Linked DNA regions of Macaca mulatta. The main gene of each other region encodes a partner of the protein of the gene in region 2 in a complex. Links are inferred from orthologs where the notes say so. Each region holds a gene or a part of one and is shown on either strand. Other genes may lie near its edges.

The links.
Region 1: GTF2F2 (region 2) and POLR2G share a complex: the UniProt entries of both Homo sapiens proteins name them as parts of the TBP-based Pol II pre-initiation complex. The link is inferred for Macaca mulatta from reciprocal best matches to the Homo sapiens genes GTF2F2 and POLR2G.

The regions. Positions count from the first base shown.
Region 1 is NC_133419.1:11,294,516-11,297,662, forward strand, and holds the end of POLR2G (DNA-directed RNA polymerase II subunit RPB7), read right to left. Parts: intron 2,288-3,147; coding exon 2,237-2,287; intron 2,131-2,236; coding exon 2,065-2,130; intron 1,818-2,064; coding exon 1,746-1,817; intron 1,238-1,745; coding exon 1,204-1,237; intron 984-1,203; coding exon 970-983; 3' UTR 763-969; downstream 1-762. UniProt on the Homo sapiens protein: Core component of RNA polymerase II (Pol II), a DNA-dependent RNA polymerase which synthesizes mRNA precursors and many functional non-coding RNAs using the four ribonucleoside triphosphates as substrates.
Region 2 is NC_133422.1:24,430,618-24,435,084, forward strand, and holds the start of GTF2F2 (general transcription factor IIF subunit 2), read left to right. Parts: upstream 1-1,438; 5' UTR 1,439-1,585; coding exon 1,586-1,651; intron 1,652-4,467. UniProt on the Homo sapiens protein: TFIIF is a general transcription initiation factor that binds to RNA polymerase II and helps to recruit it to the initiation complex in collaboration with TFIIB.

The DNA.
Region 1 (3,147 bases), on a different chromosome or scaffold from region 2:
CCCTCATCCTCCCGAGTCCAGCTAAGACTTAAACCGGCTCTGTATCAATCCGAATACCATGCTTTCTTGTTTTCTGCTAGAGCTCTGCTTCCCAAGGTAGTCAAAGAAAGTTAAAGAAAAAAAAAAAAAAAAACATAACTGAAATGAAATTTCACAGATTAGTAGATAGGAAATGGACAAGCTGGGAAAGGGCAGTCCAAGGTAGACAAATAGTATTGCCGAGGTATAGTGTCAGGGAAAATTGGCATGTTTGTTTAATCCTATAGGTATTTCATACATTTTTGTACCCTAACTAGATTCTGAGCCCTTTTACATCTTCAGTTCAGTGTAGTATAGTGATACACTGTTGTGTATATACCCATCTTAGGAAGGGCTGTGTTGAGATCCTATAGCCTGTCATTACTAGCCTCTTGTTCATCTCTCCCTGTCTGCTGTCTCCTCTCCCTTCTTTCCCAGTTATGCTCTTGGTTACTTTTAAGGGCAGGAGAAGAGCAAACACTCTGGAACTATATCAGTACTCAGAATGCCGCTAATGACTGTATCATTTGCTGGAAGCCAAAGACCCAACATCAGAGCCTTGACTTCAATGAGGTCACCTTTAAACCTGGACAAATGGGTTAGTCAGCTCCCCTGGGTGGCTGAGGATAGCAGACGCATCAGTATAAGAAAGAGGGGCTAGTAAGCAGACAACTCCACAGCCTCCTTAAAGAGTTATTGTTACTGCTAAAAAAAAAAAAAAAAAAAAAAAAAGAGGATAACACTTCCATGAGAACCAAGGACTTTTTATACTTAGAACACATACTGAAAAATCAGGAGGCAGTAGCTAAGCTAAAAGAAGCACCAGATGCCTTCTGGAATGAGTTGCCTTCCTTGCCTCCACAACAGCAGCCAGACTGGACCTCTGGACAACACGGTAAGTGTGACAATCACACTTCCTACATCAGGACCAAGGGTAGGAAGCCACTAGGCTCAGCTTACAAGCCCTGTGAAACCAGAAAAAGTGCATCAGTTAGACCCAGAATTTGGGGGCAGCCACAACCATGTACTTCTCATCCCAAGGAACGTGTCCTGGATCTTTCAACCAGACAGCGTGAAAGTTTCTTCTGTCTCTCTCTCATTTGGGCATTAAATCCTGTATTACTCCCCACCCCTACACACCCCTTCTCCAGGCAATAACCCCAGCCCATATGATCAGGCACTCACCCAAGTAATCGTCCATCAGGGAGCCAATAGCAAACTGCAGGAAAGATGGTAAAAAGAAAGTGAAGGCCGGGCGCGGTGGCTCAAGCCTGTAATCCCAGCACTTTGGGAGGCCGAGACGGGCGGATCACGAGGTCAGGAGATCGAGACCATCCTGGCTAACATGGTGAAACCCCATCTCTACTAAAAATACAAAAAACTAGCCGGGCGAGGTGGTGGGCGCCAGTAGTCCCAGCTACTCGGGAGGCTGAGGCAGGAGAATGGCGTAAACCCGGGAGGCGGAGCTTGCAGTGAGCTGAGATCCGGCCACTGCACTCCAGCCTGGGCGACAAAGCGAGACTCCGTCTCAAAAAAAAAAAAAAAAAAAAAAAGAAAGTGAAGCCAAGATGAGCACAGAACCAACCTCTACCCCGCAGCCCCAGGCCTTCTGCCCATCCATCCCTTCTTCCTGACAGAAGAGCATAGAACCCCCTGAAACTAGGTGGCAAGAAATCCAACAGCTCTCCGCTCAGCCTGGTATAGGTAGAGGTGGGGAAAAGACTCACAATGTCATTCTTGTCCACACGGGTCCCCACAATCTTTAAGCGGATCTCATCGTCCTGCTGAATCACAATATCCTGGGGAGAGGAGGGAACAGTGTACAGATGCTCCTCAGTTTATGAGAGGTTACATCACAACTACTTCACCGTAAGCCCGGGGGCATATTGAAAGCACATCACTTTCGCATCATCGTAAAGTCATAAAATCATGAATCAAGCCATGGTAATTCAGGGACCATCTGTGCTCGGCCATCCTCAGGCCAATATTCTCCCTCAGGATGACTGATTCTCTCTTCCTCTTCCTGACTTCTTTCTGTCCACTTACCTCATCCATTGTCTTGTAACATGGTGGGTTGGAGTTAGGATCAAACTCCATCTCTGAAGGGATGGACTGAAAGGAAAGTGAGATTAGGGTAGCACTTTAAAAGGATGCTTCAGTAGATGGTAATGAATGGGTATCTCTCTTCCTCAGCCCCACCCAGTGTGCCTAGACTTACGTGTCGAGAGATGAAGCAAGACATGGGTCCAATTTCTGTGAAGAGTCCAACCTAGAAAAAAATGAGTGATCTTATGGTCATGCACGGTGGCTTATGCCTATAATCCCAGCACTTTGGGGGGGCCGAGGCGGGTGGATCATGAGGTCACAAGTTCAAGACCAGCCTGACCAACATGGTGAAACCTTGTCTCTGCTAAAAATACAAAAATTAGCTGGGTGTGGTAGCGCACCTGTAATCCCAGCTACTCAAGAGACTGAGGCAGGAGAATCGTTTGAACCCGGGAGGCGGAGGTTGCAGTGAGCCAGATCTCGCCATTGTACTCCAGCCTGGCAACAGAGCAAGACTCCGTCTCAAAAAAAAAAAAAAGAGTGATCTTGCTTTTCTTTGTCCCCTCAAGTGTTGTGTTTTTGTTTTTTGCTTTCTAAATTTTGAGACAGGTTCTCACTGTTGCCCAGGTTGGAAAGCAGTGGTGTAATCACAGCTCACTGTACCTTTGAATTCCTGGGCTCAAGCAATCCTGCCACCTCAGCCTTCCAAGTAGCTGAGACCACAGGTGCACACCACCATGCTAGGCTAATTTTTTAAAACTTTTTGTAGAGACAGAGTCTTGCTATGTTGCCCAGGCTGGTCTCAAACTCCTAGGCTCAAGCAATCTTCCCACTTCTGCCTCCCAAAGCACTGGGATTATAGGTGTAAGCCAGCACACCCAGCCCTCTTCTCTTTTTTTTTAAGCTTTCATTTGTATTTATTTATGTATTTACTTTGAGACAGAATCTTGCTCTGTTGTTCACTCTGGAGTGCAGTGGTGCAATTTCAACTCACTGCAACCTCCACCTCCCACGTTCAAGTGATTCTCATGCCTCAGCCTCCCGAGTAGCTGGGACTACATGCACATGCCACGATGCCTGGCT
Region 2 (4,467 bases):
TGTCACCCAGGCTGGAGTGCAAGGCACGATCATGACTCACTGTAGCCTTGAACTCCTGGGCAGACACAATCCTCCCACCTCAGCCTCCCAAAGGTGGGGTTACAGGGTCCAGCCACTGAAACTTTCATTTTCGACACACTCCAGGTCTCTTCCCATCTTTCCTGTTAATTTTGCTAGCTAATCGCAGAGTTCTGACAGCTTTTCCTGGCCCTGTGCTGAACACACATAAAATTTCCTCAATTTTGTGCAAGGCTCTGATGTGTGATTCAATACATTACTTGCCCTTCTTAACAATACCTTACTGTTTGTTTCTCTTCAGCGAATGTTCTTTCACCCAAAGCCTGCTGAAACCTGACAATGTGTCAAACACTGTGCTATACATTGTGGATATAACATGAATAAAGCACCATTTTTTATTTGTAAATTATACCTCAATAAAGCTCTTTCTGCCTAGGAGGAGTTCGTTGTCTGGAAAGCAAAGGCAGATATGTAAACATATGTATTATAGTGCAGAGTGCTAAGTATCACACTGTGATGTGAAGAAAAACTAATTTCTTCTGGGGAAGTTGATAAAAGATCTCATAAGAAGTGACATTTCCATTGGTCTTGAACCATAAGTAGGAGTTTGCCAACCAGAGGAAAGAGTGGGAGTGAGGGCAGGGGTAAAAGAGGGCTTCCAAGGAAGGGAATCCAGTGTGCAGAGGCTCTGAAATGACCGAGGAAGATTCTGACGTGTTCCGGGAAGTCTGCTGGGTTTGGTGCGGTTCGGTGCATGGTGGAGTAATGGTGGGAGGGGAAAACGGATGAAATTAAGAGGGCCCAGTTGAAGCAGGAGGATTGAATTTTATTCTAGAGGCAAGAAGAGAAAGAGAAAACTTTAAGCAGGGGAGGAAACGATCAGTTTTGTCTCTTACTTGTTCGTTTCGTCACAGACCTTCGGGTTTTGGAATATGAGGTGCTCTGCTTGCTTAATCAGAGGAGCTCGGGCAGCCTCTGAGCTGAAACACGGCTTTCTTTTCAGGTCTAGAAACGGCATGTTTTCAATATACCCAGGGCTACCAAGTCTGATCCCAGTGCCCACTTGTGCTAATGACGTTGGCCAGGGGGGATGCCAATTTACTAACCTAAGCCTGTCCTTCAAATATTCTTTCTCTCTCTTTGGCTAGGGTTGGACACGTTCTGACAACTTTTGTCTCTTTGAACCCCGTTTTTCCGTTCTGATAATCTTTTTCTTCAGTTATGCTGGCCATGTCTTTAAATACGTTGCTAACGTTTTGGCTCATCTTACCCTATGTTTTAATCCCTCAGATACACACTACGCTGACAGCCACGCCCACCCAAGGAATTTCCGAAACAGAAAGTTTGTCTGCAACAGCGCGCCGTACGAACGTACAGTGCGCAGGCGCAGTCTGGCTACCGGCGGCGTGTTCCTCTTTCCCCCCGGTTTCCAGTGTCCTGGCAGGTAAGGAACGCCGCCTCTTCACCTCTCAGCGCGGCTTGCCCTTTGTTCCGGACGCCCACTTCTCAGCCCTCCGGCTCCTGGTGTCGCTGCTGTAGGCCACACGCGTCCACCGGCAACAGACCCATGGCCGAGCGCGGGGAACTCGACCTGACCGGCGCCAAACAGAACACAGGAGTGTGGCTAGTCAAGGTAATGTTCACGAGTCTCCCACTTGCGCTCCTCCTAACACAAGTATAATTTAAGTAACTTGAGCCCATCCCGCTCCGTGCACCTCTTAAAGTTCTTTTACGGCTATCTCGTTAGAGCTTCACATATTTTGAGAGGCAGGAGTCATTGTTGTATCTGTTTGCAGATGAGGAGATTAGTTTAGGGACGCAAAGTGTCTTTCAGCCGGTTACTGGTCTGAATCAGCCTGGACTAGATCTCTTTCTCACGGCTTTCCTGGAGCCCTGTCTTGGTGTTCCTAGACTTGGGCGGTGCATTTTATCCCAGACCGAAGAATTACTTGTATCTTTCCCTTGGTGAAACTGGTTTTAGCCATGAGCCTGTGTGAGGTAGTTGAATGTCTGCTTTCTGTACAGTTTTTTCGGCGAGAAACTAGAACTGGTCCCTGCGTACTCTTATTCTCTTAGGTAAATGGTCCTTAATGAAGCTCTCAAAAGAGGCGAGAGAGCCCTGAACAAACAGAAGGAGAGGTCAGGAGAGGTCATTGGACTGGAGTATTCTTTCAGAGCACATTTGGGTCTGATGAAACTGGCCGTCAATAAATGTTTTATGTAAAGACAGCAATTTTGGTTGGCTCACAGCGGGCACTATTTGTGCTTTACTGTTTCATGTTGGGAAGTGTTTTCTCCTAGGGGAGTTTCATAATACTTAAGCAAATTCAAAATGTGATCCTGAAAGTCGTTGAGACTTAAAATGTAAGGACTTTCGGTTTCTTAATGCTTTAACTGATTTATCATATGGCTGAGTTCTCGTCAATTAAATCTAAGAGGTCTTTCTTGTCGGCCTTCTTAAAAATGGCTCCCTTATGATCATTTGCTAACACGACAGATCCGTATTACATTCTTTCTTTTCTTTTTTTCTTTTTTTTTTTTTTTGAATCAGAGTCTTGCTCTGTCGCCCAATCTGGAGTGCAGTAGTGCGATCTTGGCTCACTGCAAGCTCCGCCTCCCAGGTTCACGCCATTCTCCTCTCTCAGCCTCCCGAATAACTGGGACTACAGGCACTCGCCCCCACGCCCGGCTAATTTTTTGTATTTTTAGTAGAGACAGGGTTTCACCGTGTTAGCCAGGATGGTCTCGATCTCCTGACCTCGTGATCCGCCCGCCTTGGCCTCCCAAAGTGCTGGGATTACAGGCGTGAGCCACCGCACCTGGCCGTTACATTCTTCAAAGCACTTTTCACAGTGTAGAGTGATTTTGTGTTAATATGTTCAAAGTTGGTTACCTCCGTCTTTCCAACACACAAAATCACATTCCATGAGATTGGATCTTTGCCTGTCATACCCAGAATAGTGTTTGGCACATGGTAATTACTCAACAAAAAGGTGATGAATAAATGCATGACCTCTCATTCTTTAACCCTCGCCTTAATCTGTGGCACTGATTTGACTTATTTCCAAGCTCAGTGTGACTTAAAAGGATGAATTAAATAGGCATTTCTCTCTCCAGCAGCGTGTTAATTGGAGGAGAGTCACTAAGGAGGAGATGGCCCTTGCAGACTGAAGGAAAAAGCTTGAAAAAATGGTGTGACTTGAGATGGTGCCATTGTTCTAGGAGCATGGTAAATGCTCAGTGTTTACGCCTTACAGGATTTGGGTGGGTGGACATAGCATATACCATGGGGAATGGAACAGAAATGCAAGACTCAAAATACATAATCAGCATGGTGTGTCGTGGAAAACAGAGAGAACCTAGAGCAGAAGATCTGTGTAGATAAAGGTTGGGACCATATACTCAGATTGTCATATCATGAAACGGAGATGTTCTAACTTTAGTTTACAAGGAAGTAACAAACTTTTTGGAGGATTTGAGTGAGGGAGAGATGCCAAATATTTATTCAGAAAAAAAAAAGTTTGGCAGTGTGCAGTACGAATTAGAGGGGAGGGTAAGTAACCAGAGTCACATTTAGAAAATCATCACAGGATTGGGCCGGGCACGGTGGCTCACACCTGTAATCCCAACACTTTGAGAGGCCGAGACAGGTGGATCATGAGGTCAATAGTTTGAGACTAGCCTGGCCAGTATGGTGAAATCCCATCTCTACTAAAAATACCAAAATTAGCCGGTTATGGTGGCATGCGCCTGTATTCCCAGCTACTCAGGAGACTAAGGCAGAAGAATTGCTTGAAACTGGGAGGCGGAGGTTGCAGTGAGCTGAGATTGCTCCGTTGCACTCCAGCCTGGGCAACAGAACAAAAACTCCATCTCAGAAAAAAAAAAAAAAAGAAGTAGTAACTTGTTGCTTAGAAAGTGTGTCTTCATTCTCATCTCATCAGAATTTTATTTGAACTACGTATTGATTTCAAGTTTTTTCTCCTTACATTAATATTTTCTGTTAAAAATAATACCTTGAGTTCTGATCTTTGTTGCTGAAAAATGTTTCTTCCTAGGATATATCAAGGTCATCTTGTACATATTTAATTCCATCACCAGTTACAGAACTGTGTAAATGCAGTAAGGACTGTACATACAAGATCTCTTAGAGTTTTGAGCAGGAAAAAAATTAATGCTTCACCAGAACTGGAAAGACATCATAGAGAAGGTGATGTTTAAGAAGAGCCTGTTTGGAGGTTGCAGTGAGTCGAGATTGTGCCACTGCGCTCCTGCCTGGGCAACTAGAGTGACACCCTGTCTCAAAAAATAAATAAATAAATAAATAAATTGGATGTGAGTGTGATCTGGCTGGGACATCTGTCACCCCATTGATCACCAGGGTTGATTTGGCTAATCTGGCTGGCTAGGTGGGTGTCCCCTTCCTCCCACTCCACTCCATGTATGTCC